Linked DNA regions of Pelodiscus sinensis. Each later gene encodes a partner of the first gene's protein in a complex. Links are inferred from orthologs where the notes say so. Each region holds a gene or a part of one and is shown on either strand. Other genes may lie near its edges.

Evidence for each region.
Region 2: the proteins of GNAI1 (region 1) and ADORA3 are in contact, whole or in part, in a cryo-EM structure (PDB 9EBH), measured with the Homo sapiens proteins. The link is inferred for Pelodiscus sinensis from reciprocal best matches to the Homo sapiens genes GNAI1 and ADORA3. Residues at the interface, in NP_002060.4 of Homo sapiens: Arg24, Glu28, Arg32, Asp193, Leu194, Phe336, Thr340, Ile343, Ile344, Asn347, Leu348, Asp350, Cys351, Gly352, Leu353, Phe354; in NP_000668.1 of Homo sapiens: Gln44, Thr47, Arg108, Arg111, Val112, Thr115, Val116, Tyr118, Lys119, Arg120, His124, Ile204, Thr228, Ser231, Leu232, Lys285, Ile286, Lys288.
Region 3: the proteins of GNAI1 (region 1) and HCRTR2 are in contact, whole or in part, in a cryo-EM structure (PDB 7SQO), measured with the Homo sapiens proteins. The link is inferred for Pelodiscus sinensis from reciprocal best matches to the Homo sapiens genes GNAI1 and HCRTR2. Residues at the interface, in NP_002060.4 of Homo sapiens: Ala31, Arg32, Leu194, Phe336, Thr340, Asp341, Ile343, Ile344, Asn347, Leu348, Lys349, Asp350, Cys351, Gly352, Leu353, Phe354; in NP_001371201.1 of Homo sapiens: Thr89, Arg152, Ala155, Ile156, Pro159, Leu160, Met161, Phe162, Lys249, Gln254, Lys301, Thr302, Met305, Leu306, Ser368, Lys370.

Annotation. Positions count from the first base shown.
Region 1 is NC_134711.1:20,806,049-20,813,252, forward strand, and holds the start of GNAI1 (guanine nucleotide-binding protein G(i) subunit alpha-1), read right to left. Parts: upstream 3,014-7,204; 5' UTR 2,183-3,013; coding exon 2,065-2,182; intron 1-2,064. UniProt on the Homo sapiens protein: Guanine nucleotide-binding proteins (G proteins) function as transducers downstream of G protein-coupled receptors (GPCRs) in numerous signaling cascades.
Region 2 is NC_134737.1:3,127,247-3,134,269, reverse strand, and holds the start of ADORA3 (adenosine receptor A3), read right to left. Parts: upstream 3,006-7,023; 5' UTR 2,511-3,005; coding exon 2,161-2,510; intron 1-2,160.
Region 3 is NC_134713.1:42,994,055-43,001,746, reverse strand, and holds the start of HCRTR2 (orexin receptor type 2), read right to left. Parts: upstream 3,006-7,692; 5' UTR 2,684-3,005; coding exon 2,455-2,683; intron 1-2,454. UniProt on the Homo sapiens protein: Nonselective, high-affinity receptor for both orexin-A and orexin-B neuropeptides. Triggers an increase in cytoplasmic Ca(2+) levels in response to orexin-A binding.

The sequences.
Region 1 (7,204 bases):
CTGTTCATGCAATCATTGATGATGTAAAATCTTAGTCCAATTATTCTCAATAGGTTCTCCCTGCCTAAAAACTTGAGGATCCAGCCCCAGTAAAAATTAACTCTGTTTTTCACAGTCCATCTTAACTGAAGGAAGTTTTCAATATTTGAATTGTGCTACTCTCAAAATGTATTGGTAGAAACAGCTTAGCTATATACATTGGAACTGCATAAAAATGTAAAGAATATGTATTTTCTAACATTACAAAATAATTCTGTGAAACGTTTAAGGAGGAACAGTTGTTTAGCGGTATTTAAATTGTGCTTCTTTCTATACATCCCATGCAAAAGTCTGTGCATAACTATAAAAATTAAGTATTTCACAAAAAACAGTGAAAGATTATTTTGGTTGGAGTTTCTAGGCACTACCATAAAAATGAAATGATCACTTTCTCTCACCTTCAGAAATGGAAACACTAGAATGTCTACAACATTGACCTCACATGATTGTTGCATGAGGTAAAAAGTAACGGCAGAGGAAGAACTGCACTAACCAAATATGCCTGACACTGAGGAAAAAACTCTCATAAAAATGAATCAGTGTAGGACAACATTTGTTTTTCTCCACACAAAGCTTGTTTCACCTCTATATCTATACAGGAAAGAACGATGCAATAGATTTCTAGAACAGGAAAGAGAATAAGTGTTTCTTGTGCAAAACATATTTCAGAGTAATATTCTGGCAAAGTCAACATTTCCTGGGAAACATCAAAATTGTTTAGTTTTTTTGTGTTGAAAACTATTAATTACTAGTACAGCTCCTAAATGGCAGAAAAGCCATGCAGACAGCTCTTTGTATATGTGGGTTAATATATTCCTGTTCAGTTTGTACTTCTAAAATATACAAGATACCTTTTTATAACAGTGTAATACAAATCTCACTTCCGTCATTTGTGGATTATTGTAAAAGTATCTTCCTGTTATAACTAAGGATGTCACGTTTGTTTAGTGAAGAGTTTAAAATGTTCACTTCCAATATTCTGAAATCTCTTAGACCAGGGGTGGAGAATTTAAGGCTCGGGGGGCCAGATGCCGTCCTAGGCTTTTTTTGATCCAGCCCAAGGCATGGGTCTCTCCCAGAATTGGGGAGTTCATGCAGGCACTCCAGTCCTCCCACTGTTCCCCCTCTCTACCCCCCCATAGAGCTGGAGCACACAAAATCTATTAGACCGGCCTCCTCTAGGCTCTGGTGCAGGAGGAGAATGTGGGGAGTGCTTTTCTGCTTCTCAGTCAGGGTCCTCATCAGTGAGGGGATTTGGTTTGGGTTTTTTTGTTCTTGTTGGACCATTTTCTGTGGGTCAGCAGCCCCTGATACAAAACACCCCTGTCTTAAACCTTCTGATTTCCACAGCCACGCCTCATTCTCTCCCCTCACAATTCTGTTAAAAATATGCCAAATAAACAAACCATTGCCACACCGTTTGAATGTCGCGGATAAGCAGATACTGATTCACTCAAAAGCAGATTTAAAAAAAAGTCACCAAATGCCATTTTAAAGTAGATATTTAAAGTACGGGGGGGGAAATATCGGTGTTCCTCGTGGAAGCAGGGCACTTGGAGAGTTAAAGCAGTATACCGTGTCGTGCTCCTTTAACGTTCATTGTTTCAAAAGGCGAGCTAAAATGAAAGCGCAGCTCTAGAGGGCTTAAATGTTCAAGTAAAAATGATCCAGCCTCAGGGTGCTGCCTACACTGATCATTTCAGCTGACATCAATTCTTCCTCTAAGCCAGCAGAGGCCAAGTGCGCCGCTGCCCTTCCTATCCCCACTCCCGAGAACTTATCCGGGAGATGGAGCCACGAGAACACGCACGCTCCGGCTCCCGAGTGATCGTCGAACGGGGCAATACCTACAGGTGCGGCCCGCCCCCGCAGGAGCAGTACCCTGCCCGAACCGGGCCAAGCCTGTAGCGGCGAGTTGCAGGCGAGGCAGGATCCCGGGCCGGGCAGCGGACAGACTACGGCTCAGGCAGAGCAGCGCGCCGGGGGCACGGGCCGGGAAGCGCAGCGGCCCCCTCCGTCCCTTACCTAGGAGGAGCAGCTTGACTTCCCTGGCCGCCTTCTCGCCATCCTCCCGCAGGTTCCGGTCGATCATCTTACTCCGCTCCACCGCCGCCTTGTCCTCCGCGCTCAGCGTGCAGCCCATCTCGGGGCCGTAGGTCGCTAAGCGTCCCCCCTCGGAAACTCCCCGCGCAGGTGACCGAGCTCACGCCGCAGGCGCGCGCCGGGGTAAGGGGGCCCCCGCAGCACACACAAGGCTCCGAGCCGTTACTCTCCGGGCGTCAGTTGAGCCAACGGTCCAGGAGAGCAAGGATCCGCTGCTGCCCTCGCTCGTCAGCCCAGTGATGCTGCCGCAGCCCTGGCTCCCAAGGCGCCGCCTGTCTTCCCCCACCAGCAACGCGGGCGCGCGCGCGCCAGACAACACCTCACGCGAGCCGGAGACAGCGCGGGGGAGCGCGAGCCCTCCACTCCCACTCCAGTCTTGCTCGCTGGAAGGAGGAGGGGGGGGGGTTGGTACACAGTGCGCCTGCGCACGACAGCTGGGGTTCAAGCCTGCGGGAAGAAGGCTGGAGTACTTGAGAAGAAGGGTAGATAACCCGGATGAAAAATGGGGAAGGAATGGGGCAAGCCACCTCCCCCAGCCCACGCGGCGTCTGTGTGACGTCACATGGCCGAGTGTTTAAAAAAAGTCTGTTAGCGGGGAGAACGCTGCGCAATTTTTGAATTTCAACGGTTGTAGGTCAAAAGGGAGAGAAGTCGCTCATTCAAGAGTTTATCAACAGGAACACGCCGCGGGAGTGCCCCAGTTGGCTGGGGAAAGCGAGCCTGAGAAGCGAGCTCCCTGCCGTGGGGGAGGACGAGGGTCAAAACTCGTAAACTTTTTTAAAAGGGAGCGAGAAGTCCCAGCAGCGGCCGCGGTTCCCTCTCGCTCCCAGCAGGGGAGGAGGGAGAGACCCCGTCCCCCTTCCTGAAGAGCGTCCTGCACTCCTCACAGGCGAGGAGCCGGCTCTGGCCGCCGCACCTCTCAGGGGCTAGTCTACCCCCAAACGGGGAGGGGCAAGTGGGATGGGTAGCCAATCAGAGGGCTCCAGTGCGATGAGGGGTGGAGCTTCTGACGACGAGCCTGGCTCCGGTCCTACGCAGCGGGTGCCGGGGCTGACGTTGGCAAAGGGGTGACTGGCCAGAGGGGGCCCCCTGCGCTCGCGCCCTGCATACAGCTGGCTTTCGGGTTCTCTGTCCAATGCCGGTGAGAGTTGCCTGGTGCCCGGTTTTGCAGGAAAGGCAGCTCACAAAGGAGACCTGGCAGGGTCTGGTCAGATGTACTGAGTAGACACAAAAAATTCAGTTCCCGCGGGCCAGGGGGAGGCATGGGTCATTAACCCTGCTCAGCTGGGGCCCCTCCTGGCCAGCAGCTGAGCAGGATCCTCAAGCATGCTCCCTACCTACTGCACCCCTGCAAGCCATGTGCTCTCTGCATACTCCCTTCACTGTATGGTGCAGGTAGTTCCAACTGATCTGTTCCAAACAATCGGTGCTGCAATAGGGTGGGTGCAGCACTTGAAGCCCTGTGAGTGTGCAGCATGCAGACAGCACGTGGCCTCTGCAGTCAGCTGCATTGAGCAGCTTGGGGGTGTGTGGCAGATATGGAGCTAGCCGGAGGCTCCCACTGGGCCATTGCACATGGCAGGCCTGATGTATACAGCATACAGGACATATTTTGCCCACCCACTGATCTAGATGATCCAGAGAGCATGAGGGGGAAGAGCGGTGAACAAGGATGGACCTTGGGGAGAAAAGGCAGAGTATAGGTGGGGACTTGGAGGCCCGATTACTAGCTATTAAAAAGATGGCAACCCTAAACAGTAAGGCTGCGTCTAGACTGGAATGATTTTCCGCAAATGCTTTTAACGGAAAAGTTTTCCGTTAAAAGCATTTGCGGAAAAGAGCGTCTAGATTTGCATGGATGCTTTTCTGCAAAAGCACTTTTTGCGGAAAAGCATCCGTGCCAATCTAGACGCGCTTTTCCGCAAAAATGCCCCGATCGCCATTTTTGCGATTGGGGCTTTTTTGTGCAAAACAAATCTGAGCTATCTACACTGGCCCTTTTGCACAAAAGGGTTTTTTGCCCGAACGGGAGCAGCATAGTATTTCTGCGAGAAGCACTGATTTCAGACAGTAGGAAGTCTGTGTTCTTGCGGAAATTCAAGCGGCCAGTGTAGACAGCTGGCAAGTTTTTCTGCAAAAGCAGCTGCTTTTGCAGAAAAACTTACCAGTCTAGACACAGCCTAACTGTGGTTCACAGTCCCTGAACTTTGCTTCCTTCGCTTTCCTGCCACCATTGTGCCCTTATTTCTGTTGCAGCCATGCTGGGCCCACTCTGACCTTGGGTGTGGAAGAGGGCAGATGGGGTGCAAAGACATGAGCTCAGGTGAGCTTCTTGCCCAAAAGGAACCTGGATTGCTGCTTGTCAGGTGCACACAAACCAGAAGCAAAAACTGATCTGGACAACACAGCTCAAACAACCACAGTTAGGGTATGTCTACACTTCATTCTTCTCAAGAGAAAGGAATGTAAATGCAGACACCCGAAATTGCAAATGAAGCAGGGATTTAAATATCCCATGCTTCATTTGTATAATCGTGTTATGGCGCTATTGTGGAATAGCACTATTTCAAGAGAAAAAACGGGGTTATTTCAAGATAAAACCCTTCTCTCTAAATAACCCTTACTCCTCATTTTTTGGAGTAAGGGTTATTTCGAGGGAAGGGTTTTATTTTGAAATAACCCCGTTTTTCTCTTGAAATAGCGCTATTCTGTAATAGCACCATAATGTGATTATGCAAATGAAGTGCGAGATATTTAAATCCTCGCTTCATTTGCAATTTCGGGTGTCTGCATTTACATTTCTCTCAAAAGAGAGGAATGACGTGTAGACATACCCTTACTGAAGAGCAAGGGTTCAAACTCCTGGCCTGCAGACCATCCGCAGCCACAGCAATTGCATAATCCAACCCAGGAGTCTTGGTGGAAGGAAGGGAAGCTGCCTGTTCCATTCCCTAAGCCCTGCTCCTCCTGCCTTGCTTCCACCCATGGTACCCCATCTCTCAAGGTGATTTCAGGGATCATTTGGATGGTCTGATGTGGTGTAGCAGCAGCAGCAGTCTGCCCCCCTCCCTCCCCATGCTTTCTGCCGTGGCTGGAGCCATGGAGCACAGTGGAGCAAGTGAGTGTACTCACCAAGTGCTGAGAGACAGAGTGCACTCCTGCTGCCTTGGGTGGGAAGAGAAGGGTTGACTGCTGCTTCCAGGCCAGACTCCCCACCCCCATCCCCAGTGAGCCCTGAAGCTGTGCTTGGGGAATAGAATGCTATAGGGGGAGAGGGCAGCGTGATGATGGGAAGGGTGGGGCTTGAGGAACAGTAACATATAACCCACACCAGGATTTCAGGGTCAGATTGTGCAGTTGCTCCAGCAGGGGATGGCCTTCAGATTTGAAGTTTGAGACCCCCCCCCCCCCCCCCCCCCCCGAAGAGGATATCACAGTCTCTCTCTTGGGAATACCGAGCACTATAGTTTAGTTAAAAATGAGAAATTTGCAGTTTCTTCTGCTTTTCAAATGCTAAAAGAGTCCTCTCCTCTTGGTAAAAAAATGTCTAAAATTGCCTTCAACTGAACTGTGCTTTTTTTTTTAAAGTTTGAGTTTAGCTGGTATCGAGGTATGGTTGAAAATATGTCATTTGTTACTGAAGCAATTATTATCTATTAAAATATCTTAAACTCACTGTCTGAATGTAACTTTTCAAACTTGGCATGATTTAAGTCCTCACACAGCAAAGAAAATGAAGCCAATTTGAAGAAAAATGGGTTGGTTAACCAGCAGAGGGAAACAGCCGCTTGGGCCAGAAATCTTATGTCAAATGTTTATAATTAGCAGCTGCATAAAAGAAAGATGCATCTGTACTCAGCCTCCTTCCTTCACCACAATAATCTGCTTCCTGCTCTGCTCACCCCAATCAGCTCCCACCTTTTTCAGCCACATGTGCTCAGTTTATGTTCTTTTCTGGCATCTTCCCCCAAGCAATTTTCTGTGTAATAAATGAACAACTTTTTACTAGCTTTGCTATTTATTAGTGTTATTACATATAAAATAAACTATGGTCTATTGTGGCTTCTCCACTGCCACGTGGGAAACCTATTGTCAGTCTCATTTCTCAAACCAGAGGGTTTTGGGGGCAGCTACCTAATTTACTCAATTCCAAGTGAGGAGGAGGTAAATAATGCTACAACAGTGATCCTTAAAGTAGATTAAAATGGATTGAGAAATGATGGCCATGAAATAAAATTCTTGGTATTTGGGTCACTTGCTTAGCTATCTGAAGCTGGCAAAAATGATGTGTGTGAACGTCCAGATAGCTTTTCTGAAATAACCAAGTTTCTTTGTATGTATCTACTAAATTAAGAAAACTAATTGAGTTCAAACACATTTAATTATTCCTTTTGAGGTAAGAAACACAGCATGTTTGTATTGCTCTTCATTACACTAGTTCAAATTTTGACAGTAGGCTGGGTCATTCCTTTTGAGACAGGGATTTGCAAAGGACAGCTGATTTTTATACTCTATCCAAAACTTGATTGATAATATTAATAGCCTCTAACACTTGGTCTTGTTTTCACAACTGGATTAGTTTGCTTTCCAGGTCTCTGAGGAGTTGCTCCAGAATACTTAGGTTCATTACTAAATGAACAGGGTCCAGATGTTGATAGAATTGATATGCCAAAATTAAGCTTGCATTTCCCAAGTTCTTGAACTAAAATTAATGTCACATCCTTTTCATGTGAACACAAAGCATAAACAGAAATTAGTTTCGTTAACATTTGGAATAACATAGAATTGGTTAATAATCAAAGGACATCTATTGTGAACACACATACCGTCTTTTTTTATAATAAATACCTTAGAGGAGTTGGCATCATAAGCTGTAAAGCTGTAATTACATGTGTCCTGGTTGGAAAGGCAGACATATGATCTTACATATACAGGCAGTCCCCGAGTTACGCGGATCCGACTTATGTCGGATCCGCAGTTACGAATGGGGCTTTTCTCGCCCCGGAGGACGGGAGCGGCGGGACGCCCAGATGCGCCGCGGTCCGCCGCCCCCGTCCTCCGG
Region 2 (7,023 bases), on another chromosome or scaffold:
TGACAGTATTTAGACGGTCCTTTCAGGAAAATAGAAGAGGTGAGCTAGGATGGGCTGGAACTGTCATGGATGCTGTTGGTGTTAAAGATCCATCCTGCTTCCGAGAGGACAAGCTTAGACAAAGCGGGAAAGAGAAGAATGCCAAAGATAGAAAACACAGCTTCTGTCTCTAGTGCTGACTCTCAGGGTACGTTTAGACTGCAAGCTTCTTTCAAAAGGAGCGTCCACATCTCAAAACCAGATCGAAAAAGTGATCTGATTTTTCAAAAGAGAGCATCCAGACTGCATGGACATGCTCTCAAAAGCCCTGATTGCTTTTCACAGAATGGCCACCAGGGCACCTGTGCTTTTTTCGATTGTTCTTCTTTTGAAAAATGTCCCAGTTCTGCATCCACATGCACCTTTTTTTCGAAAGAGCTCTTTTGGAAAAGGTGTTCTTCCTCATCATTTGAGATTTACCAATGTCAGGAAAACCGCTATGTTCTTTCGATTTAATTTTGAAAAAAACATGATTGCAGTGTGGATAGGTGACGTTTTTTTTCGAAAAAAGGGCAGTTTTTTCGAAAAAAACAGTGTAGTCTAGACATACCCTCACTGACAGTCATACTGCTGGAAAAACACAGGCCCAGCACATAGTCTGACCAGCCACTCTGAGACCTGGAAACTTTGTCTCAGTGTGGCAAAATAGGCTTGACTCATATTACAAAAGAAAAAACCTGGGAAAGAGCAGAAATATAGTGTGGAAGGAGACGGGCATCTTGGAGAGTTGGAAGGGGTGACACAGTCCCACATCCATGATGACATTTGGGGTTTAGTCAGTGACAATGGAAATAAAGACATTACTGGATCCCTCTCTCTCGGCCCAATCTGGTCATCACATCTGTAAGGAGGAGGAGGAAGGATGTCTGGGGACCACAGGGTAGCGCACGCAGTCATCATAAGGAAGCTCATTCTAACCCTTCTTTTATTGTTTAGTCAGCCAGATTGCTCCCTGATATCTCTTCTTTTAAAGATCTCATGGCTGGAATAGCCCCATCCCCTCATTATTTTGTCCATCAGTTACACCGAATTTCTGGCCCACCAGTTTTGATTTGAGAATGGGTCCCACGCTTCTCTTGTTAACCGTGCATAATCTTAACATGGTGCTTGAATTATATAGGTAGGCCTTTTGCTTAGACTAACACAGTCTTTCTGTGGCCCTTTTGCACCTTTACCCACCAATATGTTGTTGTAGGATAGGGGATGGTTTGTATTTTATGAGCGTTCACTCACATCTTACCGCTGACCTCACAATTCAAATAAATGTGTAAGCCCAGTTACTCCACCAGAACTCAGTACTGTCTGCCTTTGTGCCATCTTGGTATTTTTCATGCATGCGCTTGGCCCATGTAAGTTATAGAAAAAAAGGCAGATTTGTCTAAATGACTATTATTAGATGTTGCTGTTCACTTTATGCCCCTGTTTCATTTTGACCCTGGGCTGGCATTGCTGGTTGAGTTTGCGTGACCACCCCCAAAATAAATAAAGACACAGATAATATAAAAATCAGGCTACACACCCAACAAAATGACTAACAGATGAAACCATGAATATAAGAACAGCCAGACTGGGTCAGATCAGAGGTCCATGTAGCCCAGTCTTCCGACAATGGCCAATACCAGGTGCCCCTGATTTTCCAGCAGCAGTCTGATTCCTATAGGCAATTCTGAAATGATTGCTATTTTATATATATATTGAGGTAGCATCTAGGGGCCTCAGATGTGTACCAGGATTCCATTGTGCTTGCTACTGGGCTAGCACTGAGCTACGACACAGTCTCTCTCCCCCACTGATCTGCTTTTAAACTGCTTTTACAAAGAGATTCTCTTTCTCTTTTGGGAACAGATGTTCAAAGCGAGTTTGCTGCTTGAGCAACTTGCCCAATCTGAAGCCACCTCAAATAGATGGGGGGGGGGGGCAGAAGCAAAGAGCATCTGTAATCGCAGAATCATCGAAATGTCGGGCCAGAAGGGCTTGCAAGAGGTTGCCTATTCCACCTCCCAACCCTGAGGCAGGACGGAGTAGAACCTAGGTATTGAAGGGCAGGTCTGAGCTGGGGTGCAGGGACCAGGAGAAGCATTAATTGAACCCCCATTTAGTACGATCACCTGAGTGACTCACCTGGTGGGCAGCTTCACTCGCAGGTACCTGTCGATGGCAATAGCCAGGAGAGACAGGATGGAGGCATTCGTGAAAACCACCATCAGGCAGCACATGAAGAGGCAGGAATAGAAGTGGATGACCACTCCCAGGCTCACCACAATGGCCAGCGGCATGACGAGGATCCCCACAGCTATATCAGCCAGCGCCAGCGAGACGATGAAGTAGAAGGTGTTGGTCTGAAACGCTGGGTTCAGCTTCACCACCCAGATCACCAGGATATTGCCCACGGTGGCGGATAGCGCAATAATGCACTCAACGGTGATGTAAACAGCAGTCAGGCTGCTGTGAGACACGCTGCTGTTTGTCATGGCGAAGAGCAAGCTGTCTCCTTTGCTGGCTCAAGAAACCAAGAGGAACAAGCCCCAGCGGGATTTCCCTCCAAATGAAACCAAACCTCAGCTCTCCCAGTGACTTCCTTTACAATAACTTCCTGTGCAGAACTTTATGTCCCCATGGAATGAGGCAGCTAGCTGGCTGTTACCCCTCCTTAGCATCGCACAGGAGTAAATTGCACCCAGATCTCCATGATGTGCAATCCGTTTGGTCAGTGCCAGGACTTCTCTGTAGCCCCGTCAGTATCCTTCACGCACTCGGGAAATGTGCTTCGGGAGGGTCAGAAATCTTGTCGGGATCTGGCCAAAAATCCACCTGCCTTCTTCACTTGGTCTAGCGCTGTCACTTTTCAGTTACTCTATTTCAGAGCTGCAAGCAGGTTTTTTTTTTTATTTTAAGAATTACCCATGTCAGTCAACCACATCTGACTGTAGATAAGCAACTTCTACTCTTCTTAGGAAGTGAAGTAGTTAAGAGGAAGTCATGAGGATATTCTGTTTGATTTCAGCCTCCCACTTGGCTTTGAATGCATTTTCAGCTCCTGCTGTGTTAACCATCAACTAAGAGTCTGAAGAGGCGGGGTGCCTAGTTATCTTTGTGATGACCTTCTGAGACAGCTATGCACCAGGGGACACTGCTGTGACTAGGGTGGTCCTGTCATAATGCAGAGGCAAGGCCTTCTCAGTGGAAGAGCCTAGGCTGTGGAAATTATTAGCACTAGACATCAGAATCAGTTCAACCCTAATCATGTTCAGAGAGCAACACATGGTTTTAGTCGGTTCTTCACGTTCTTAGGCCACATCTCCACTTGCCGCACTGGGAATCGATCTTCTGGTGTTCGATTTAGTGGGTCTAGTTAAGACCCGCTAAATTAAACACTGAGGGTAGCTTCAGTTGATGCTGGTACTCCTGGCAGTTGCGAAGAGTAAGAGAAGCCAACAGGAGTGTTTGCTCCCCTCAGCTTCCCTCTGTGAAGATGGTGCCAAGCTCGTCTTAAGGTAAGACAACTTCAGCTACATGTTTTATGTAGCCAGGATTGCATACCTTAACACAATCTTCAAGGTCTAGTGTAGATCTGGCCTTAGTCTCTGCATCTACATAATATGATGACAGATACAAAGGTCTCCTTGCCATGAAACTGGCAAAGAATGAGTTCATGGCTAGAGGAAAGAAAAAGGAAAGAAGTAACAGAAGAAGGCAGCAGGGAACTAGGAGAGACAGAGTGATATGTTGGTAAGAATAACTAAACAAAGCTGAAAGCATGTGAGTTTGTTAGGGAAAAGCGTTTCTATGACCCTTAAATTTGCATTTCATTTAGACCTACAGATAGACACATGGTACCCTAGGGATGGCAAATATAACCCACAGTGGAATGGTGGGATGAAAACTATTGTTGATCCCAAACTTTTATCCAGGTCCCAAGAGTGTCTTGTAAAAACACAGAAATCCAGCCTGAGTGATACTGATATTTCAAGGTCCTTTCTAATGGTGTCTGCTCCCAGTAACATGTCTGGCCTTTAACTGCCAGCTTTGTAATGGTCTATATTGCTAGCTTCTCTGGGGAGTGCTTTCCTCTTCCGAATGTAAATAACAAGCCATGTTATGATAAACACAACGGACCGGGATATAATCATTGGAAGGCAACACATCCAACAGTCACTTTCTTAAGCATCCATTGTCTCTGAGCTGACATTGTTCCTGACAGCAGCAACAGTGCTGTGGAAGTGAAATCAACCCAGCCTCTTCCGTGGTAAGACAACTGGTGAAAACATACACTGAAAAAGCCAAGACACTTCTGCTTAGGAAATACAGATACTGCGCCACCTTCATCCTGTGTGTAGACACACTGAAATCAGTGGTGTCGCTCCGGTGTAATGCCGAGCAGAACTGCCTAGTGAATAGGCATTAATCTGGCTGCATTGGGCTGGGATTGAGGTTCTTTAGGGGCTAGGTCCAATGTCCACCAAAGCCAAGGGAGCAGATCCTTAGGGAACCTCAGTTATATCTAATCCATTGACATCAATCGGGATAGGAGGCCTTTGTAGATGGTGGTGCCATAGCCGAGGCTACTGATGCAGAGAATAAGCCTTAGTCAAAGACTCAGTTCTGACTTGCAATGAGCACACAGAAGAAGTCAAGGCACATGCCATTCACTTACACCCATGTGCTCCTAGAGCATGGGCAACGAGAAAGCCGAGGGCAAGGGGCGCATGCTAGGAATTAGCTAATAAGTAAGCACCACAAGCATCCAATTCAGCAGAAATGCCCATGGCCAGCTGTCTGCAGAACAAGCAGCAATTTCAGCCATAGAACAGTTCCCCCCCAGCCCAAGCATAGATCCAGGTTTCACTCACCTGTCCAGCCATAGGTAAAACTAAGTCTGGGCAAACCCTCGCTCCTCTTTGCCTGCTAAGCATGACCTCATCTCCTCATCTCATGTTATTTTATGTGGCCGGATGCGGCATGCAGCAGGTAGAGATGGATAAGCGTGTGTGTGCACACATAGGACAGGTGGTGAGCCAACCAGGGTGGTGACGGAAGGGTGTGCCTGAAGGCATGCAGTGTGGACACATGTTGGGTACATGACGGAGACTGTAAAACCCATACTTGTTTGTTATTTGCTACATTCATTTCCTGGCCATGCTGAATTGAGCTAGGTGTGGCCCTAGCGGGGCTAGTGCTATTAATTAGAGCAGTTTGATTGAAAACATAGCTGAGGGAGGAAACCCTCCAATTCGACATCGTCTTCTTTTCCTACCACCTGCGACAATAAAAGAGTAATCACCACATCCTGCCTTCGGCACAGCCCCACACCACCCTTGTGACCACTATCATCACTCTGACCCCTTACATCCTTTTCCAAAGAACTATTTCCTAAAATAGCCTTCTCACCTATATGTGCATCCGGCAACTGAACTGTGTTACTTTTCACCTGGCCTAATATACAGGCATGCTGCTTGCTTGCACGAGTGATCCAGACAGTTCTGCATCTGTATGAATTGCCCTCTTCATTATTTACCAAGCCCCCAATCTTTGCGTCCAGATTAAGAAGAGAAATTGGTGATGGGCAGGCCACATCCTGTGGAATGGACTGCGAGGAATGTATCGTGGGACAAGCATTAGAATGGAATCCAAAGGGAAAGAGGAAAAAGGGGACGTCCAAACGAACATGGCGACAAAGCTGCCTGGACGAAGTAAAAGCAGCTGGCTTAACATGGGATCAAATCAAGACTATCGCTAAGGATCGCAAGAGATGAAGAATGACAGTGGAGGCCCGATGCTCCATTAGGAGCCCAAAGGACTAACGATGATTAATATTTGCGTCATCCGCAAGCTTTACTAATGATGGTTGTTGATTTCCTTCCGGGTCACTGCTAAAAATAATGAAATGTCATAGGGTCAAGAAGTGATCTGCACAGGACCCCATGAGAGCCACACCCATTCAATGATGATTCCATTTACATTTCAAGAGCTGTCCGTTGGCCAAATTTTAACCCATTTAATTAGTGGCACATTCATTTTTTACCTTTCTAGGTTTTTTTTTTAATCAAAACATCATGCAACTCTGAATCTATTAAAGCTCCACTACTACCCTCATCAACCCAAAAATATATCAGGTTAGTCCGACAGGATGTATTCTCCATAAACCCACATTGATTGGCATTAATTATATAATCCTCCTTTAATTTTTATTAATCAAACACTGTAGCAGCTGTTCCATTAATTTGCCCAGGACTGAAATGAAGCCGACAGGCCAATAATTTCCTGATTCATCCCGTTTAAATATTTTAAATATTTGCTCAACATCAGCTTCCTTCTAGTCTCCTGGAGCTGCCCCAGTCTTTCAAGATTCATTGAAAATCAGCATTAATGGTCCAGTGCCCTCCGCTCTTTGAAAACTCTCAGATACAAAGAAGTGGGTTTTGCCCATGAGAGCTCATGATTTTATCTATCTATCTATCTATCTATCTATCTATCTATCTATCTATCTATCTATCTATCTATCTATCTCTCTCTCTAAGGCTATGTCTACACTGCATGCCTTTTTCGACAGAGGCTTTTTCAACAATATCTTTAGAAAAAGCCTCTGTCGAAAAAGAGCGTCTAGACAACAAGAACATTTTTCAAAAAAGTGTCTTGCTTTTTCAAAAGAGAGTGTAGACGCTCTCTTTTGAAAAAGCCCTGTTTTCATGCAATAGATGACTTTTGAAAAAAGGTGTTATTCCTCATAGAATGAGGTTACCGCCATTGACAAAACTGCCACGTTCTGTCCACTTACTGTCACCAGAACACGGCGATAGTGTAGACACAGGTATAGTTTTTTTCGACCAAAGCCAACTTTTGTCGAAAAAAACCCTCTAGTTTAGACACACCCTAAGATGCCACAGGACTACTCAGTGTTTTTTAAGTTGCAAACTAACACGCCTACCCCTCTGAGACTTTTCCTCAGATACAAGTTAGCCAGACCAACTGATTTTCTATCAGTCT
Region 3 (7,692 bases), on another chromosome or scaffold:
TCTCCCTTGTCACACTACATCTAATACGTGTGTTACAGGACCAACACCTTTCAGATTCTTATTTCACATAACTGGCACAATTTTTTCAGCCAGCCCATACAGTCTTGTTTGGTTGACTTCCTCCCTTTTCCATTCTCATTATAGTAGCCATGTCTTGTTCCTGCCAGTCCTCTTGTCTCTTCTTCCCCCACTAACTTCCCGAGAAGTTCTGCCTTCATTGAGGTATGTTCAGATTGTTCAGTCTTTTTCTACCATTATGACTTGAATAATTCCTCCCATTTGACTCTGATCAATGGATATTTTAATACTTTTATTAACCCCTTCATTACACTGTTGAATTCAAGTAGCTCACAAACACACCATATCGTTTCTTTATTTGCCTCATATTTTTAATCACTTCCTCCTAACTGGTAGCAAGTTAGTCCAAGATGACTTCTCTTGTGGCTGCATTTTTTACTTCTTGGGTTATAAAACTCTTTCCTGTGTAACTCAGCATCTCACTGATGATGCAAGTTTGGTTGTGAGTGAACCCAAAAGATATCTGGGCATTTTAATCCCCCCGTGAGTCCAGTACCCTGTAGTTTCAAGAACTTTAAGCACAGTCCCTACATGTAGCCTTAATTCTCCACTAGTTGTGTGGCATGATTTATTTGTCCTAGAAATGAAGCCTTGGACATAACTGCTGGAGTGTTTTTTTTAAAATCTCTGCTTACGTTAGATTCCAAAGAGTTATATATGTTATTTCCCTAAATTATTCCATTATTTTACCCGAGAGCTACTTTTAGCTTCTAAGGATACTGGCTTCTGATAAATCCCTTCACATTTTCTCTCTTCAGTCACTCCCAGCTTCCCCAAACACCCTAGCTTCTTCTCCTTATTCCAAAGCCATCTTCCATCTCCCCCAGTCACTCTTCTCTGTATTTAAATCTGTTTCTTATACACAAGCTCCTCTTCCCCCATCCTTCCTTCCCCCCTCATCCTCTTTCTGCCTTTGCTTTTCAACAATTCTCACTGTTGCCATACTCCAGATTCCTGCCTGTTCTTTCTTCTGCTCCCTCCACACTCTGGCCCTGCACCATTCCTCCCTCCCTCTACCTCAAATATATCCCAGTTGTTTCACTTCGAAATTCTCAGTTACTCCTCCATCCCCATTTTCCCCTATCTTGACTCTTAACATTCCCATGACTTTCTGCCCTAAGGTTTCACTTTAACTTTCACTCATGATATTGCTTTTCTCCATTCCCTGCCTCATGTCTTCCTTGCCTCCATCACTCACTTGGACATTCTTTCTCTTAGTCTACCTGGTAAAGAACCTCCAACCTTCCCCTTTGCTCTGCTTCACTTTCAAATCCCTCCATCTTCCTATTCCTTCCTCCTCTTTTCTCTGCCTTCCTTACTCACCAGTTCACCTCCCTCAAATTCCCCAGGTTCCCTCCTCCATGTCCCCCCAAACAAAGTCCCCCGCACTTTTTCCCAATAGATTATTCTGAGCAACCCTGCATGAAGCAGCAGCCAGTGTTCTTAGTTTCCTGCTGCACTACCTCCCTTCCTCCTCCTCCTTCACAGATGAATGAAATTTGGGTGAGAGTAGGAAAAGAGAGAGAGAGAGAGAGAGAGAGAGAGATTGAGATTTTTGTCTGCTTTCTCCCCCTGGCTGAAAGCTGGGAGTGCTTCATTCTACATAGTTATATCCTTGAACCCTAGCATTCACCCTAGCATAGAAATCTATTCAAACAACTGATATAAGAACAAGTTCTTGATTTAATCTGCTTTCCACATTTGTCAGTGCCTGGAGTGCTCCTGTCAGGTGAGTATAAATAGCCATTGCATTGAAATGTCTAAGTTAAACTCTGCTAACTTGTTTGAGAATTTCTGAATGAAAAGCAGCATTATGACCAGACACAGAAGTGCTGTCAAGAGCAGCTGTCAGCACCACATGAAGGAAAACATATGTCTGCAAAGATCTGAATGGGGCTGGAGAATTTCAGCACTACTGCCAGCTGGACAGAGATTAGAGAACAAACATTTCATTGACACAACCTTCCTAGTTTGGATGAGCTTGTTTCTTGGGGATTCTAATTACAACCATGACTAATTGTTAGTTAGTAAACAGCTAGAAAGCCGACTGTCTTAATGTAGCTCTCTAAATGAAAACAGTGATAAGAGCTGCTTTTAACACTCTCAAAACATGATGCTCCCAGCCTCTTAAATACCAAGCATGACAAATGACATGAAGAGTTAGCCATTTTAATTTCAAAATAAACTGCCAGATACAAACACATTCATGTCCCCTGTTTGTCTAAATCTAACTTTCACTCTCGGATACAAGAAACAATGTTCCCAGATGCCACTGTTAACTCACCTACCTTTTATTCATAGTATAGGCTGCCTGAAAATCCGTGCAAACAGGTTATATTACAACTCTTCAGAGGAGAAATGCAGAGTGCTACTCACCTAGGATGTTTCCAATGAGAGCCACAATGAAAACAACAATATATCCTGCAATCAGGACCCATTCATATTCTTTTGGATGCAAATATTCTCTCCAAAGGTATCGCAGAAATTCCTCATCATCATAGTCAGCAGAGGGGATTGACAAAGGCTCCCGAGTATCATTCCATTCTGGAGCAGATGACCAGTTCCCACAAGAAGGGGACTCATTATCCAGTTTTGTCTCGGACATCACTGGTTTTAGCCTGGGTCTGGGATCAAACCTGGTCAGTACTTCTAGCTTCTCTGAAGTCCATCCATTTACACTTGTGCTGTGGAATGGCAAGCCCAGTGTGAGGAGAAATGGAGAAAAGGAAATGAAAAGTTACAGAGCCAATGATGAGGGAACCTTTGACAACTTCTCCCACTACCTTGGCAGCACTTCTCAGCAAAGCTGCACACACAGCAGCTCTGGGAGAGGGAATGAGGACTCGGCATCAGAGTCTGCTGTGACAGAGGAGCCGGCACAGCACATGCTTACAAATGCATAATTCTGGCACAGACTCTGCAATACACAGCAAATCCTTAGAGGGAGAAGGAGGAGTGGGCACTTTGCTTCCAAATGTGAGAGTACAGGCAGTCCCCGGGTTACGTACAAGATAGGGACTGTAGGTTTGTTCTTAAGTTGAATTTGTATGTAAGTCGGAACTGGCATCCAGATTCAGCTGCTGCTGAAACTGACCAGCGGCTGAGTACAGGAAGCCCGAGGCAGAGTTGCTCTGCCCTGGGCTTCCTGGAATCAGCCACTGATCAGTTTCAACAGAGGATGAATTTGGACGCCTGAGACAGAGCAGTTGGGGCGCTGCCGGGTAGGTCCCCGCAGCGCCGCACCTCAGCGCTGCAGGGACCAACCCAGCAGCACCCCAGCTGCTCTACCCCAGGTGTCCCCAAGTCAGCTGCTGCTGAAACTGATCAGAGGCTGATTCCAGGAAGCCCGGGGCAGAGCAACTCTGCCTCAGGCTTCCTGTAGTCAGCCGCTGGTCAGTTTCAGCAGCGGCTGACTTGGGGACACCTGGGGCAGAGCAGCTGGGGTGCTGCCGGGTTGGTCCAGTAGCGCCGAGGAGCGGCGCTGTGGGACCAACCTGGCAGCGCCCCAGCTGTTCTACCCCAGGTGTCTCCGCGAGAAAAGCCTGGTCTGCTGGGGGGGAGGTGCACTAGCTGCGCCCCCCCCCCAGCAGACCAGGGAGACGCGGAGCAAAGCTGCGGAGCACGCGGGCAGCAGGACAGCCCAGACGCGCCGCGGCTGTCCCGCTGCAGGCGTCCTCTGAGGCTTTGCCCACATCCTCCGCCACCCATGTCCTCCAGGGCGAGAAAAGCTGCTCCACGTCTCCCTGGTTTGCTGGAGGGGAGCCCCCCCAGCAGACCAGGGAGACGGGGAGCAAAGCCTCGGAGGACACCGGCAGCGGGACAGCCGCGGCGCGTCTGGGCTGTCCTGCTGCCCGCGTGCTCCGCAGCTTTTCTTGCCCCGGAGGACGCAGGCAGTGGGACCTACGTAAGTCGGATCCACGTAACTCGGGGACTGCCTGTATATGTAATCCAACCTGTAAGCAAGTGTGTATGCTCACTGCCTGTGTATACACGTGTGCTGTGCAATGTGGGGCTCACATTTAGGAATCCTTAGATGTACACTTACACCTGTCCTTGATATTCCAAAACTACCCTCCCTAGCTCGTCAGCCCCTTCTCTGTGCTGTTGCCCTTCCCCTCTGCCTCCTCTTCTCATGCCTCTTTCTGTAACTCCAGTTTGTTTTCCTCCCAAGTTTCTCCATGCAGCCTTCTCTCTGTACTCCCACCCACATTTCCCCTGTCCTGTTCCAGCTTGACACATCACTAAATTTAACTTCACTTTTGGGGAGAAGAGTATCAGCAGTGGAAGAGAGCTAGAATGGGGGTAGCTACTGAAATCAGTTATCATACCCTCCCCCAAAAAAAGTTGCTGAGTTTTCTGATTTGTGGATGTCAGTTCAATGGTATTTTCTGCAAGACACCATTCTTCCACCAATTGAGAGACATCAAAGCACAGATGATGTCATCCTCTGTCTCCCTCGTGTTATCAATGGTGCATGGCTCTCCCCAGTGGTCTTATTGGGAATCCTGGGCCTGTAATGCCAACAATTCCTAAGGTCTCTGTGTCACTCTTGCAGGTCAAATAGGCAGACCTATTCCCCGAGCCCTTACTCACACCCCACAAACTAGAGTCAGCAGAGGACATTTTTGGAAGAACAGGAGGCAAGAGGCAACCACATGAATATCTCCTCATTGCTGTATGGGGTTCTAATCCCTCAACCACTTTCCATGGAAAATAACTAAACTATTTCAGGAGCTGATGAAGTACATAGTGGCTATGTGTTTCAAACCCCAATAGTGAAGGTCAAAGGCTTTCATAATAAACTTCTGGACATATTGCATGCTTCAAGCTTCTGCCTGCAGCCCTCCTTGTGAATCTGGCTTTATTAGAGCCTGCTAAGACCATCTGGCAGACTCCAACTGTACAATCCACCACCAGTAAATGTGCCAACTAAAATATTGCATTTTAGCAAAGTACTTGGAAGTGTCACTGAATTCCCTGGTTGTGGAAATAGTAAATGAATGAGACAAACAGCACAAAACAATTTAAGAACATCATAAACAAAGGGCAACTCTTAGAGAGAAGATTATTGCAGTCTTCCTTGCATATAGCTGATATCGGAGCCAAGTCCATTTCCACCATAATCATGATGTGATTTCCATTGTGGAAGCAGATATCCAGTTTCTCTAGGGAATTGCACAACATTGCTGAGGACCTCCCTATGGATGGCCACAGTTGTTCTTTTAATCGACTGGTGAGTTTCTTCACATCTTGAAAGACTTGTGGGTTACACTTTGATCCCTCACAATTTATATACCTGCAACTAAAAGAGAATGTAGCAAGTCTCACACATTCCATGGTTCTTTCCAATACATGTCTTGAATTTCCACTGGCAACCCTGAATCACCAGCCAAGAGACCAAGATATTCAATAAACAAGCCAATCAAACACCACAGCTACTTTATCTCAGTCACCCACGTTATCTAAATGCCAATCCATCTTCTGTACTATCTTCTCCATCTTTGCCACCTTGGATACTGTCTTTCCCTTTTCCAGCTTGTGTGGGAGAGAATAACATCCAGAAAATGGGCTTTGGAAGTAATAATATAAATGTATTCCTCCTTTTTGCCTTCATTTCTCCCTTCCACACCCTTTTCATGGACCCATCTCACAAACATTTGCTGAGATATGAAGTTACCACTTTTCAACATGTAGGGGTTATGAAACCTGTTCAGTCTAGCTCTGGGGATGCCTTTCTAATTGCACTGACTTCACTGAGATAGATTTGGTACCCTTACCTCATTAAACTTGCTTTTCATTCACCAGTGCAACTTCTAATCTGTTACATCAGTTGTCACAGCATGCTGGTCATACACATCACCCCAATCTCAAAGTTTGAATCCAGGCACAACTTCTACATTGCATTAATCAGCCAATGGGCCTATCACACTGTAGCCCCTCCTGAAGGTATAGCCTCAAAGGCTAGATTTTTTGCTTACCTGGAATTGTAGAGTTACACAATCCCCAGAGATTCCTCAGGAAATATATTTAATATCTATTGGCCCATTGACATTTTATTTTTGTTTGTTAATTTTCATTATAATCATCTAAAGGGGGAAACCATCTCTAGTTATTACATTTTAGATGTTCCCAAATCATATCAGCATAATAGCTTAACTGGCTACATTTGACTGTTTATCTATTTTTATTACACCATCTCTAGCAATACTATTATGATTTAAACCTTAGTCTTCTTGTACATTCATGTGAACTATAAATGTCTCTGATGCATTAAACTCAATTTCTTATTTATCAGAACCAAACTATGTAACAAATGATGTTTTCAAATTTACAAGCCTATAGAGAATATACCAAATCTGAATTAAGAAACTTAAATTCCAATTTATATCTGTCAACCTTTTCCCCCAGTGAGGCTAATGTCTGGCATTTCATTTAGGTGAAAGAAGAGAGACTGATATATGCAAACTTAACCCATAATCACTCATTTAAATTTCCACAAATACCGAAATAAATCAGTCATTCCTAGTAAAATATCTTGTAGCTTTCAATTTATGATGTTACATACAAAAATTATATTATACAATATAAATATTAATCCAACTCAATTTATATTTTGTAGCTTATGCTATCTCAAAGGTATTGCCATCATTCAGTTGGAGATAAGACCAATCTAGCCCCCCCACTTCAGGGTTCAGATTTTATTTTTGCTTCAAGTACATTTTCCTTCTGCTAGTATGAATTTTATAACCGACATATATTTAATAACACAAATAAGCAGCACCTCTTTCTACTTTACAGATCAGTTTCTTCATTTTTAAACCTTTGTGACAAAGAACCAAAAAGACTGAGTTCTGCATGAACTTAGGAGCATCTGAAATGAGAGACCAGATTTGATTTTTCACAACAGAAAGCAAGATTTATGTTGTCAGAAGTCCACAGACTGCTGCTTAAAGGTCATATGAGCTCATGGATACCAATTCAGCAAAGCATCTAAACTCGTGACTAGGCCTGTTCCTAGTCAGCAAAGTACTTCAGCTCATGCTGCTGAATAACAATGGACTGCTGAATTGGGACCCCAGAGAAGGTGGCCATGGAAATCTGCCCTTCCCCGCCTCACCTTCCTTCCATTGCTCTAATTTCACCATCTTCTACTGCCCCCTTTTTTTCCTCTTGATCTATCTACCTCTCAGCATCTTGGCTGTTTACCAATTGCCATAACATCATGGTCAAGCTGCAAAGAAGGACCACTCACAGCACTTGCCTTCAAGAGATGCATCAAACAAATCCCACTGCTTTGGCAGCAACACTGAGCAATGCCTGACAAGCAGCAGGGCTCTCCTCAACTCAAATATAGTGTGGAAGAGGGAGAAAACAGAGAGAGAGGAAGATAAATGAATGGTAAAAGCTTTTATCAATTTTAAATCCCCACAGCCATTAATATTAAATGAAGAGCAGGCCATAGCTGCAACATCCTAGATATCTAGAGCACTACATTAGAAATTACACAGCCAAACCCATGATTTTTAGAATAAAGAATGTGATCATCTATACACCTTAAAATGGAACTAAAGACAATGTAGGCAGCCTGGCATTTGTTTCAGTCTTACATTTGTT